Rhinolophus ferrumequinum: one gene and its partners. The protein of the gene in region 1 interacts with the protein of each later gene in a pairwise test. Links are inferred from orthologs where the notes say so. Each region holds a gene or a part of one and is shown in the gene's direction. Other genes may lie near its edges. The genes, in order: TFG, CSTF2 and MAPK1IP1L.

Region 1 (3,749 bases):
AATTATAACATAACGAACCTTAAGCTGCTTTCAGAGTGCACAAGCCCCAATTCCTCCCCAAGGACACCCATGGGTGCCTCTCTTCCTAGCTTCCAGCTGGCCCCAGTATAACAGGGACCCGTTTATTTCTCCTCAGTGGCAGGACTCTTGAGTGTGTGCCCCTTTCCTGGGAACTTAGAGAGAGGAAATTCTTTCCCCTCATTCCAGGCTAGGGTTTATTCCCTTAATTTCCTGCCCCAGGAAACCTCTTTTTAGGAAGATTGAGAATGATATAGTTATTTTCCTTCGGGGAATATTTTACCTCTGCCAATTTTTGAGTGTTTTTATCCAATCTCAAACCAACTCAAAGACATCAGAATACCATAATTGGACAGCAATTTACTTCCCCAAACCTGGATTACTCAATTCTAAATAACAAGCAATGAACAATTTTGGGAGAAAATCAGGAACTTTTTCCATTCCTTCTAGCCCTTCGCTCCCCAATTCCTGCAACCAATTGCTCAAAGAGCAATACAGAGTGTTGTAAAATACAATTCAGAGGCTAAAAGCATTCTAACCTCACATATTTCCCTCTCAAAAAGATTTGTTCAGAGACTCATGACTGCAAAAAGATCACACTATTTATGGTATTAAAAGAACATGAACCTAATTCAATTTACCCCAGGCCTTTCTTTCTGTTGAACAACTATGGGCCAGATTAATTTGAATTGTTTTTTGCTTAGTCTCTGTCTTATAAGACAAAAGTTGCTTGCAACTTTTAAAGTAGCGCTCCCTACCCCCAAATTTCACCTCCCCCCAAAAAAATGTAGGGTTCAGTCTGAGTCAGGGCACTTTTTACATACACACACGTATTCAAAACAAATGTTTTAGGTAAGAGAGAGGAGTATGTAGTGCACACTCGAATACCTTATCTTCCAAAAAGGCTTCTAGGATACTTCATCAGCCTTTATTTCCCAGCCTTTACCCATTCATAGGTTTGTCCTGTCACGTAAACGCCATTGTAAACTTGCTCACAAACCGATTCATCCTCATAGTGCTCGGCAAGGAGTAGGCGTCCAAAAATGAATGAATGAGTTTGTAGAAAAGCGGGAAAAAGTTTAGTTTTTTTTCGAGATATGACGAAGAGAACTACAAGGGTCACAAAACAACAAGACGCAAACTTGGATACATGCCCACTTTCAATCGGCTCTCAAATAGATTCCAGAACAGTAAACTATGCTCCGCCCACGAACGAGAGACGTGAAATAGTGTACACGCTTTCAGAAAAACCGGAAGTTCCTGGTCATGCCGCGCGCACGCGTGCATGCGTTCAGCTCGCACTTACTACACTTGTTCCTCCAGTGACAGAGCAGAGACTCCGGTCGACGTCGGCCCGGAACTTGCCCGCCCCGCGCCCCCCGGCGTTGCGCATGCGTGCTGGGGTGGCCTGCTCGCTGTGAGGCGGGGCGAAAGGACAGATTTTTTTTTTTCTTGCTCCCGCCCCTCTTCTTCCCCCACCTGCCACGTACTGGGCCCAAGCTCTCGCTAGGCTTAGTGGGTCTGTGCGATTGGCTGGGTCCCTCGCGAGCCTACGAGGGAAGTGCGGCGGCTGCGGAGGGCAGCCGAGTGGGCCGTGACCGTACCCTCTCTACGACGCCCCCAAGCCCGGCAGCCTTGCACCAGTCCGGCCAGCGGAGACCTGTGGAGAGGCGGCAGCAGCGGCCTCGGCAAGCCGGTATGGCCGCTGGAGACGGGGGCGCGGCCGCTCTCAGACAAGGCGGCCAGGAGACAAGGAAGCGCTGGGAGGGCCTCGCTCGAACCGGCGGGCGCCGGGCATAGGGGGCCAGAGGGGCCGTGAGAGGGGGCTGGAGGCCCGAAGGAGGGAGGCCGGGTGGGACCTCGCCTAGGGGAGGAGAGGCCACAGCGGGGAGAGGAAGGGCATCACACAGGCCACGGAGGCGGGTGGGCTTTGGGGGTGGTTGGACCATCACGCGCTCTCGCGCTTATTCCGCCTGGCTCCAAGGGGTCGGAATGCTGGACGGAGAGGAGAGGTGATCGGGGAGGCCTTGGGCGCCTAACCGCCATAGGGTCTTGCAAGGGTGAGAGGGCGGAGAATGGCGCCAATAGGAGTAAATTGATTGGGGTCACTTCAGGGGAACCTCGTTCCTTGGCTATGTCAGTGCTTTATCAAGCGCCGTCTGCAGACCCAACCCAGTTTTGTAGTGAGGATGATAGCTAACTCTTAGAGTTTACTAGGCACTGTACAAAGTATTTTAGATGCATGATCTTATTTAATTATTCTAAGGCTCCTTCCAAATTTAAATATTATTCCCATTTTGCGTTTGATGCCTAAGGACACGTGACTAGTAGTGGGAATCTTTACGGTCTTAACACATTGCCTTTGGTTAGGCAGAATCGGAGGCTCCTTGTATTCTTTGGAATAAGCAGGGGTTGATTTTGCTTAGAATTTCTTAAAGGAAATTGCTACCTTCCTGACGTGCCCAATCACACCCCTGTGATTTTGAGCAGGGACCTACCCACAGGGTTAATCTAGCTGGAGGTTTGGCCACAACCTAGATCCTGGTTCAGGATGCAGGCTTCTTATGTGTCCTTGGGCATGTCACTTTATTCTCTAGTGCTGAGAACAGTGTTCCTATTGGAAGATTTCCTTAGTGGCTGTGTCATTTCTGGACTTTAGAGGGAGTGAGGCAAGGACAAGATGGGAGGAGAAACTGCTGTAAGGATCTCACCAGCACTCCTGGTAACTAGTAGTTAGAGAAACAGAGGCCCTGAATTTTACTATTACATTGTATAAAACAATGGGGATGGATGGGATTTCCCCTGGAAGGGAAAATTCTGTGGTACGATTCGTTTTCTGATATTTGTGCATGCCTTGAGGAGATAACTGCACAAACTGAGGACAGCCTTTGGAAAGAAGCCCTGGTTCCTCGCCCCAGGGAATTGAGTCAATGGGAAATGCTAAAGAATAAGTGAGTTTGCAGGCAAACATGCCGATACGAAGTGAAAGAGACTCAGACTCGTGTTTTCAGATCCATTGGTGAGCAACAATCCTTCCACAATCAAAAAGACATACATACTATCAGTAATATTCGATGTTGGAAATTTCTTTTAGGAGTATGTTGGCTTTCGGGAGTCACTTCTAGCTTATAAAGAAGGTACATTGTGAAGGTCTGACTTAGGAACTGACTAGATAGTACAGCTTTCTTCTCCCAGTTGGTTTATCAGAACTTTATTATTCCTCATTCATCTCTTGTTCAAGGAACAAAAAACAAGTCCTTGCTTGCTATATGTCAGGCTCTATTCTCAGTGTTGCTGAGAGTAGATAGTACCATTTTGCTGAAGCTAAGCCTTGGTCCTTAACTACTTTATTGCTGATTTACACAACCTGTAGATAGTAGAAGGTGACACTGATTGACCGGAGTTCTTTATTACTCTCAGACTGCAAGGCAAACAAGGTGGAATCTTCATCATCTTGTTGAAGTAATTATACTTCAGAGCTTGGCATAAGTACGTATTCAGTAAATTTTTCCTGAATAAAGGTCAGGATAGATTAAAGGTGAAGAGGTTGTATGGAAGTTTAAGTTAATCACAGCCTTCATGAGAAGTCCGTTGTGAGAATTTGCAAATAAAAACCCTGACTATTCTTATTTTACATGAAGGCGAGCACAGCATCCAGGTTATGGAGCACAATCCATTCTGTTATGAACTGACTTTAGAGTGTTAGATTCAGTGTTTATTGCCCCATTTAT
Region 2 (3,749 bases), on another chromosome or scaffold:
TCGCAGCAGAACAAGCTCTGGCTAAGTGCTTCAACCTAGTCTTGGGTGGTTTATTATATTGTGAGTCATTGACCCAACATCCTCAGGTCACATGCTCTAAGTTCTTTTCCAGCAATGGTAATATGTTGAGCCACCCATATTCTCTCAGTTATCCTGGGAGGCAATAAATACAGCAGTAAGCGTTCAGTCTCTGGAGCCAAAGCAACCTGAGTTCAAATCATGCTTTAGCTGCTTGTTGTGTACCACCGGTCAATGATGTTTCCTGTTCTGATGTTTTCTGAAACCCTGCCGGCCAATGTCCTCGGCCACCCCGCCCCGCCCCGCCCCCATTACCAGAAACATGGAGCCCAGGGGCTAGACCAGCGTAGACGTGGGTCTGTTCTCCCTTTACCTCCCCATCTGCTCAGCTATGTTAACGCCTTAACGTTGAGTGCCCCTCACTCTCTTATTCTCTAGGCTGCTGCGATTTTCTTTCCCCATCGCACTCCGTAAACTCACAGTATTTGCAAAATGACAATGTGCACGCCGCTGGGGCGCGGCCAAGCATTTCCCTCCCCCAACAGGGCGTAATTAAAATGAAAGTGCCATGGTTGTTAGCAAATGACTTCTCTGTTACTATGGTAAAGCCACTGCTTCCATCTTTATTGTGGTCGACAATTACTTGCGTTAGCCTAAGTAAAACATGAACAATAAAGGCTTCAAATTAGCCTGGGCCTACCCGAATCCGACCGTGAACGACAGGCGGCAGCCCTGCCCGGAAGGGTTAATGTTCTCTTGGAAGTAACGTGCGCGGCCTGTGACGGAATGACGCCAGGGGAGGGGGCCCTGCGTCCGCCGGGCCAGGTGTTTCCGGTTCACGCACAATACGGAAGCCTGTTGGGCGCTGGAGGCACGCGCCTTACGGAAGAGTGCCCTGGCGCACCGGAAGCCTCGGGAGAAGAGCGATGGCGGGTTTGACTGTGAGAGACCCTGCGGTGGATCGTTCGCTACGTTCAGTGTTCGGTGAGAGGAATTCGGTGGAACCAAGCATGGGGAAGGGACAGAAAGAGGCAGTGAGCGGCGAGGAACGCCCCCTGCATCTCATGAATCGACGCGGGAACCGGTGATGGGGCCGGCGTGCAGCTCTCCCTGCCTCCTGTGCGGCGGGCAAGCTGGTGGACTCGTGGGCAAAGGGATGCTCCCCTTACTCCGAGGTTTTGCAGCCCTACCACGATGTGGCTGAGGAAGTTAAACTAGCGTTCAACTTCTATGCGTTTCTCCTTTCACGAGCTTCAATTTTCTAGAAGCGAATGCGCATGGCAGCTGTCCCCTACTACTTCTCATCCCCTCTCCCAGAATACAGATTATGTGCTGGGATCCTTGTGTCCACTTCCCGCTCGCTCCTAACGACTTTAATCCTCTGCTTTTAGCCCGTAACATTTTAGTTCGTTGGTAGTGGTAGCGGCAATCTGGCGTCTTAAGGTGGATTGTAAATAAATGAATGAATGAACGATTAAGACCTCGTCGAAGAAATTTTAAAGAGGATCGAATCTATTCTAAGGAATCTTTTCAGCCGAAATAAGTTGTGTTTTTAAAGTATGTGTGGTGATTTTAAATCACTTTTTGGAAGGGACATGACAAAACACTTAAGAATAATTATTAAACATCTTCCACTACTTCCACGATCATTCTCCTTTGAGTGTGTGTGGGGGGTGGGGGAGTAATCCGGACATATGAGCCGGTTTTAAGAATTAAAATGTTGCTATTTTTAGTAGTTACTGATAAGACGTGCAGCCCTTCAGGTAAATAGCAATGCCTAAGTATTTTTCACCAAAGTTAAGGAAAATCCAACACTTGTCAGATCAGTCTGAGAATTGATAAAGGTGTTTAGAAATGTCTACACCTTTTGTATTTAGTTTCAGTGGTTTATTTCTCTTGCAATTAAAGTTAGCCGGCGAGATTGAAATCTTGGAACTGGGATTGGAGGAGCACTGTATTTTGAGCAAGTTGTCACATTTTCTGATATAAATAGGTACTGTATTTTCTTAATAAAGATGTAGGTTACAAACTCAGAATTTTAATGTTACCTATTTTCTTAGTGGGGAACATTCCATACGAGGCTACTGAAGAGCAATTAAAGGACATCTTTTCTGAAGTTGGACCTGTTGTTAGTTTCAGGTGAGGTTCCTTTTCACTACCTGGTGGGAGTTTCTTTAAAAATCATCACAAAATTTGGCCCTTAGTAATTATGACAGGGTTTATACTGGTGACTTTTCACATGCATTCTCCTTTGTTTGTTTGTTTGTTTGTTTGTAACAGCTTCATTGTGATATAATTCACATACCATGCAATTCCCATTCATTTTTACTAAAAGATAGATTTCTTTAAATGTATGTGGGTATGGGCAGGTGGCATTCAAAGTGCATGCCATTTTCAAATATGCCCAGACTTCTACTCTCCGCTAGGCACTTTTGTGTTTCCGATGCACGTGTTCAGCTTCAGGGTCAGCCAGGTATGTGTAACTGGTTTGGGTTTCCTGCAGAATCTGCTGCATGTGCTCATAGTCAAGCCAAAAAAAATATGCTCTCTCCAACAAGGATTACAACCTCATGCTAGTGGAGCTGTGAGCATTCCCTACTCCACCGCCCCTATAATTGTTACTTCTACAGACAACACTGCTGGGTGAAGGCTTTTCCCACCACACCAAATTGCGCAAGCCCCTTCACTAGTCACAGAGAAGTTACTGGTCGTTATGACCTGTCCTGCCCTGGAAAATCTTCTTGTCAACTGAGCTGGGGGAGGGATTCATTTTTTTAAAAAAAATGTTTATGCATGTCAACTGTAATTGGTAAATTAAAAAAGAAGTGTTTAAAAAATATTTCAGTGAGTGATAAGGTTATTTGTCTTACAGTTGACCAAATTGGAATATGGCAATGTTAGCAGGAACCCTGTGTGTATGTAACATTTGTGCCTATACTTGGTTGTGCTCTCCAGGTTGGTATATGATAGGGAGACAGGAAAGCCAAAGGGTTATGGCTTCTGTGAATACCAAGACCAAGAGACAGCACTTAGTGCCATGCGAAACCTGAATGGGCGTGAATTCAGTGGGAGAGCACTTCGAGTAGACAATGCTGCCAGTGAAAAGAACAAAGAAGAGCTGAAGAGTGAGTATAAACCCAAGTTGTATGCAACACGAGTTAGTAAAGATGTAATAATGAAGATTTTCCATTTATGATATGTTTTAGCATCTGCTGAAATGGTTACCCACTCAGCTTCTTTACTTGACCCACCTAAGGTGTTTGCGTTAGGGAAGTGTATATCTTTGAGAAACAAGGTAAAGTTGACTTTAGAAGTCCTTCAGTTGCCAAGGAGTTGATTCCAGTTGAAGATGAATTCAGGCTCACCAAGTGATTAGTGCTAACTAGGTCGTTGGTGTTTGCCACTCCTGTAACTATGTGGCCAGATCTGTATGTGGTGGGGATATTAGCATTCTTACGGCTTTTTTTTTTTTTAATGAGGTTTATAGATCCAGGAATTCCATTTTGATATTAGCATATTTTTCTGTTTAAACCTTTTGCTTCTGAAATGGCTTGCCAAAGAAAGTTAATGTGCCTAATCCCTAATTTAGGTTAACATTGTCCACCTATGTGATCCTGGTCCCAGCTTTACTCTTGAGAACAGAAAATGCATTCTGTCACTTTCCTCCACAGAAGTAAGAGAGTTGGAAATCATTTATTTCTGAGCTCTAGAGAATTTAAAGTTATCAGTGT
Region 3 (3,749 bases), on another chromosome or scaffold:
TGCAGTGCAGTTCTGAAAAAGCTAGATGAGGATTTAGTTCCCAAGCAAAGGTTCCCTGTAGGAGTACATATGGGACAGGAATGACCTACCTAACTGGAATTTCCCACCATGCTGTTATTGGCTGGGAACATGGGAAAAGCTGGAGGACATCAGTCACTCTGATACCCATGACCAGGATTAAGGTGATGGGCATAAAAAATTTTTGACCAAAAAACTCAGTAATGAAAAGTAATATTAAAACCAGAATGCAAAAAAAACAACAAAAGGAAACCTATGAGCAAAAAACAAAAAGTTTAAATAAAGATAGCACTGTTTTACTGACTTTTCTTTTTGCCTCAGGCTTCCTTATGGCTCCACAAGACACTGCTGATTCACTGCCTCCTGAGGGCAGGTTAGGTCGGTCACACTAATCATTTTTCATAGACCATTGCTTTTATCCAAAAATCTGTTTTCTCTAGGCTTAGGTATTTGAAGTTACACTATAGTTCATTTTTCAGGATGAGGATTATGTGTGCTGTGGAGCATATTCAGAGACGTCTTCGTTTAAGAAGTTTAGTAAAATATCCACCCATTGACCCACTAAAAGCTTACATGAAGCAAAATGTAAGAATATTGCATACTTTTACAGATAAAATGTGCGTATCATATGTATATGTCTTTGCACACCACATAATTATAACATTACTAGCTAGCAGGTTCCTTGGTGTCGGGGGCCATGTGTCAATCTTTCAGGCCTGACACAGTACATACTTAAAGGTTTGTTCAAAGATGAACGTAGAAGAGGCATTGATCAGGAAAAATATGCAAAGACAGCTGTTCCTTTAGTTAATTTCAATTTGCCAAGCCATTCGCAAACGTCTTGTTCCTTTAGCTCCCCCCAATTTTAGCCCAAGGGTCCACGTCCCCAAATTGGGCCGCATCCACACCCAGCCAACTTCGAGGCCTGGCTGTAAAAACCACTGAGCACAGGGAATCCAGAAGCTGCCCTCCAGCCACTCCAGGGAACAAGTTAGCAATTTCCACCAGGCTGCCCAGAACGTCACCAGCCACAGGCGCTTCTTCTGAGTGCTCAGATCTCCGGAAAACCGGGGAGCTTTCCTCTCTCCCACGGGAGAAATCAGCCGCCAAGGGGCGAGCGCGAGAAGCAGCCACACGGCGGAGACCTGACCAGCCGCAGTGCCACCGAGGGCCTGCGGGGGGCGCACACGGCCCGGCCCCGAGGGGGGCGGGGGGAGCACTGGCGGGGGCGGTGAACTCCGAGTTGGGCGCTTCCTGTTCCGGCGCCAGGAGGAGCCGCGCGCTGTTGGTGTTGCTGCTGGTGCTGCTGCTGCCGTCGTCGCCGTCGCCGCTGCTGTCAGTCAAACTGCCTCGGTTTTTCAGCGACCTGTTCCCTCGGACCCATCGCCGCTTCTAGACCTTGCTGTGGGCTCGCATCTTGCCGGGTGAGGCTTCTTCGGCGGTAATAAGGGTCGTGGAAGCGGGCGAGGAAGCGCGCCCGAGCGGGAGGGCGGGCGCAGTCACGGGGGTGCCTCGAGTCGCTCTTCGGGGGCCAGGGCTAAACGTTTTTCCCGTCATCTTCCTCCGGGTCTGGACTGTCCCCTGATCGCCCCCCAGGGAGAAGGCGTCAGGGCCTGGTGACGTCGCTCCCGACGGGTTTCTCCGCGCCTGACGTCAGGCGTGGCTGGGCGGCGGGGCGGAGGGAGGGCCCGGCCCTTCCCCCACCCCTTCCCGAGCGAGAGCGACCCGCTCCGCGGCCGGTTCGCTCCGGTTGGTCCCGGATTGTCTTTGTTCCTTTTGGCCCTAAAGAGCTTTCGACCACGAGATCCTCGGCCCCGACATCTCCCATTCATTAATTTCTAATAAAAGGGAAGAGCCAGGCCCGAAGAGATTCTTACAGAAATCGTTGACCCTTGTTTAAGATTATCCGCAGTGTGACAACGTCCTGATCATTATTTCTAGAGTTGCTAGCAAATACATTACATGAAACCCATGACAAAAACTACTGAGTTCGGTAATACTCTATTTTTTTAGGATTTAGGAGCCTATGTTATGCATGGTAGCTTAGAAATAGCTGAACCCATTTTCTCTTTGAAAACCAAGAGTAGTGCTTTTAATAAAGATTAAAATGTTGAAGCATCGAATCATAGTCACCTGACTGGAAAAAATTTTTTATGGCATTACTACTAAAGAAATACACGTACACCTGGTGGTTTTAAAGGCCTGTTTTGAAAACGAACCCTTACTACAGGCGAAGGTAGTCTTCAGAAATCTTTCAGAAGTTCTTTGTTCAGTAGTGTTTATTGGGCAGGAAAAACAAAGTTTTCTTGCTGCTAGTGTCTCTGAACCTCTTGTTCAAAACTAGTTTGTCTCAAACTTGAATTGAGTTGCGAATATTGGCATGTCCTTTTCCTCTCTCCCGGGGGAATAGAGAGCCTTCCTTTAACCGAAATTCTTGGGACCAGTGTGTTTTGAATTTCAGAAGCCTTTGAATTTTATCTTTAGATGTTAGAAAGACGATAAAAGTGCATAGACAGATAACACCCCAGCAGTGTGGGGGCAGCATCCCCTAATCCAACATTCATATCTGCAGCAATAGGTGTGAATTAATGGAAACTATAAATAGCCTTAGGTCAGGTTTTGCCGCCAAGTAAGTTTTATGCCAAACTTGAGAACGTTTCTTTGACTTTCAGAAGTTTCTGGGTTGAGAACTGCAGATGAAGGTTTGTGAACCTACAGAAGCAGTTGTAAAAGCTAACATTTGTTGAGTTTTTGCTATGTGCCAGGCAGTGACCGAAAGATGTGTTTATAAGAATATAATGTAAGTCGCACAGCGGTAGCTGTGAGCTGGATACTATTCCTGTCTACTTCTACCTCTAAGGTTTGGAGAGTTCAGCTTGTCCAGAGCCAGCCAGTGAAGAACTGCTGTTTGTCTAGTGAGTCATACTTTTCGTGTTCACTCTCTTAACCATATGCTATATGCTCATACACAAAAGAAGATTAGAATATGTCTGTTGCCCACTAACTATATTCCAAGCACTATTACAAGCACTTGATTTACGAGTCCCATTTAGTCTCTCACATTACTGGCCCGTTCATTCAGATGAGCTGATTAAGATGTTCAAATCTTGGTCTAAAGGCTCTCTGCTAAGGCTTTCATATTACACCCCTTTCTATGTTCCAAACAATCTGACCTGCCTACGCTGCCCACAGAGCATCTCTCACCTCCCTTGCAGCTTTTGCACAAAGGCCTTACCTAAGGCCTATCCCACTGTCCCGTACTTCCAGCTCTTTCCTCATTGTTCTTCCAGACTGCAAAGGCACCACTTCTCAGGATTCCTCCCCTAATTCTCCTGATTCCTTTAGGAGCTTTTGGAGATACTTCGTAGAGCCCTCTGCTTACCCCAAGTTACTGTTTAAATGGTAGTTCACCAGACTGTCAACTCCTTAAGTATTTATTCCATGCAATACTGCCATGTTTCCCCAAAAATAAGACCTAGCCAGACCATCAGCTCTAATGCGTCTTTTGGAGCAAAAATTAATATAAGACCCGGTATTATATTGTATTATACCCAGTATTATATTATACCCGGTCTTACATTAATTTTTGCACCAAAAGATGCATTAGAGCTGATGGTCCGGCTGGGTCTTATTTTCGGGGAAACACGGTATCCATTTCTCCAAAACACAAAACAGTGCATAGTACATATGTTCCAACAAGTATCTGAATAAGTATAGAAAATACAGCTGGC

Evidence for each region.
Region 2: the proteins of TFG (region 1) and CSTF2 interact in binary tests that used the Homo sapiens proteins (3 or more experiments, as listed by UniProt). The two-hybrid records come from large-scale screens. The link is inferred for Rhinolophus ferrumequinum from reciprocal best matches to the Homo sapiens genes TFG and CSTF2.
Region 3: the proteins of TFG (region 1) and MAPK1IP1L interact in binary tests that used the Homo sapiens proteins (3 or more experiments, as listed by UniProt). The two-hybrid records come from large-scale screens. The link is inferred for Rhinolophus ferrumequinum from reciprocal best matches to the Homo sapiens genes TFG and MAPK1IP1L.

Annotation. Positions count from the first base shown.
Region 1 is NC_046285.1:29,840,514-29,844,262, forward strand, and holds the start of TFG (protein TFG), read left to right. Parts: upstream 1-1,464; 5' UTR 1,465-1,714; intron 1,715-3,019; exon of another isoform or gene 3,020-3,037; intron 3,038-3,749. UniProt on the Homo sapiens protein: Plays a role in the normal dynamic function of the endoplasmic reticulum (ER) and its associated microtubules. Required for secretory cargo traffic from the endoplasmic reticulum to the Golgi apparatus.
Region 2 is NC_046284.1:53,627,671-53,631,419, reverse strand, and holds the start of CSTF2 (cleavage stimulation factor subunit 2), read left to right. Parts: upstream 1-890; 5' UTR 891-944; coding exon 945-1,002; intron 1,003-2,078; coding exon 2,079-2,157; intron 2,158-2,973; coding exon 2,974-3,143; intron 3,144-3,749. UniProt on the Homo sapiens protein: One of the multiple factors required for polyadenylation and 3'-end cleavage of mammalian pre-mRNAs. This subunit is directly involved in the binding to pre-mRNAs.
Region 3 is NC_046289.1:38,248,210-38,251,958, reverse strand, and holds the start of MAPK1IP1L (MAPK-interacting and spindle-stabilizing protein-like), read left to right. Parts: upstream 1-844; 5' UTR 845-1,442; intron 1,443-2,878; 5' UTR 2,879-2,933; intron 2,934-3,749.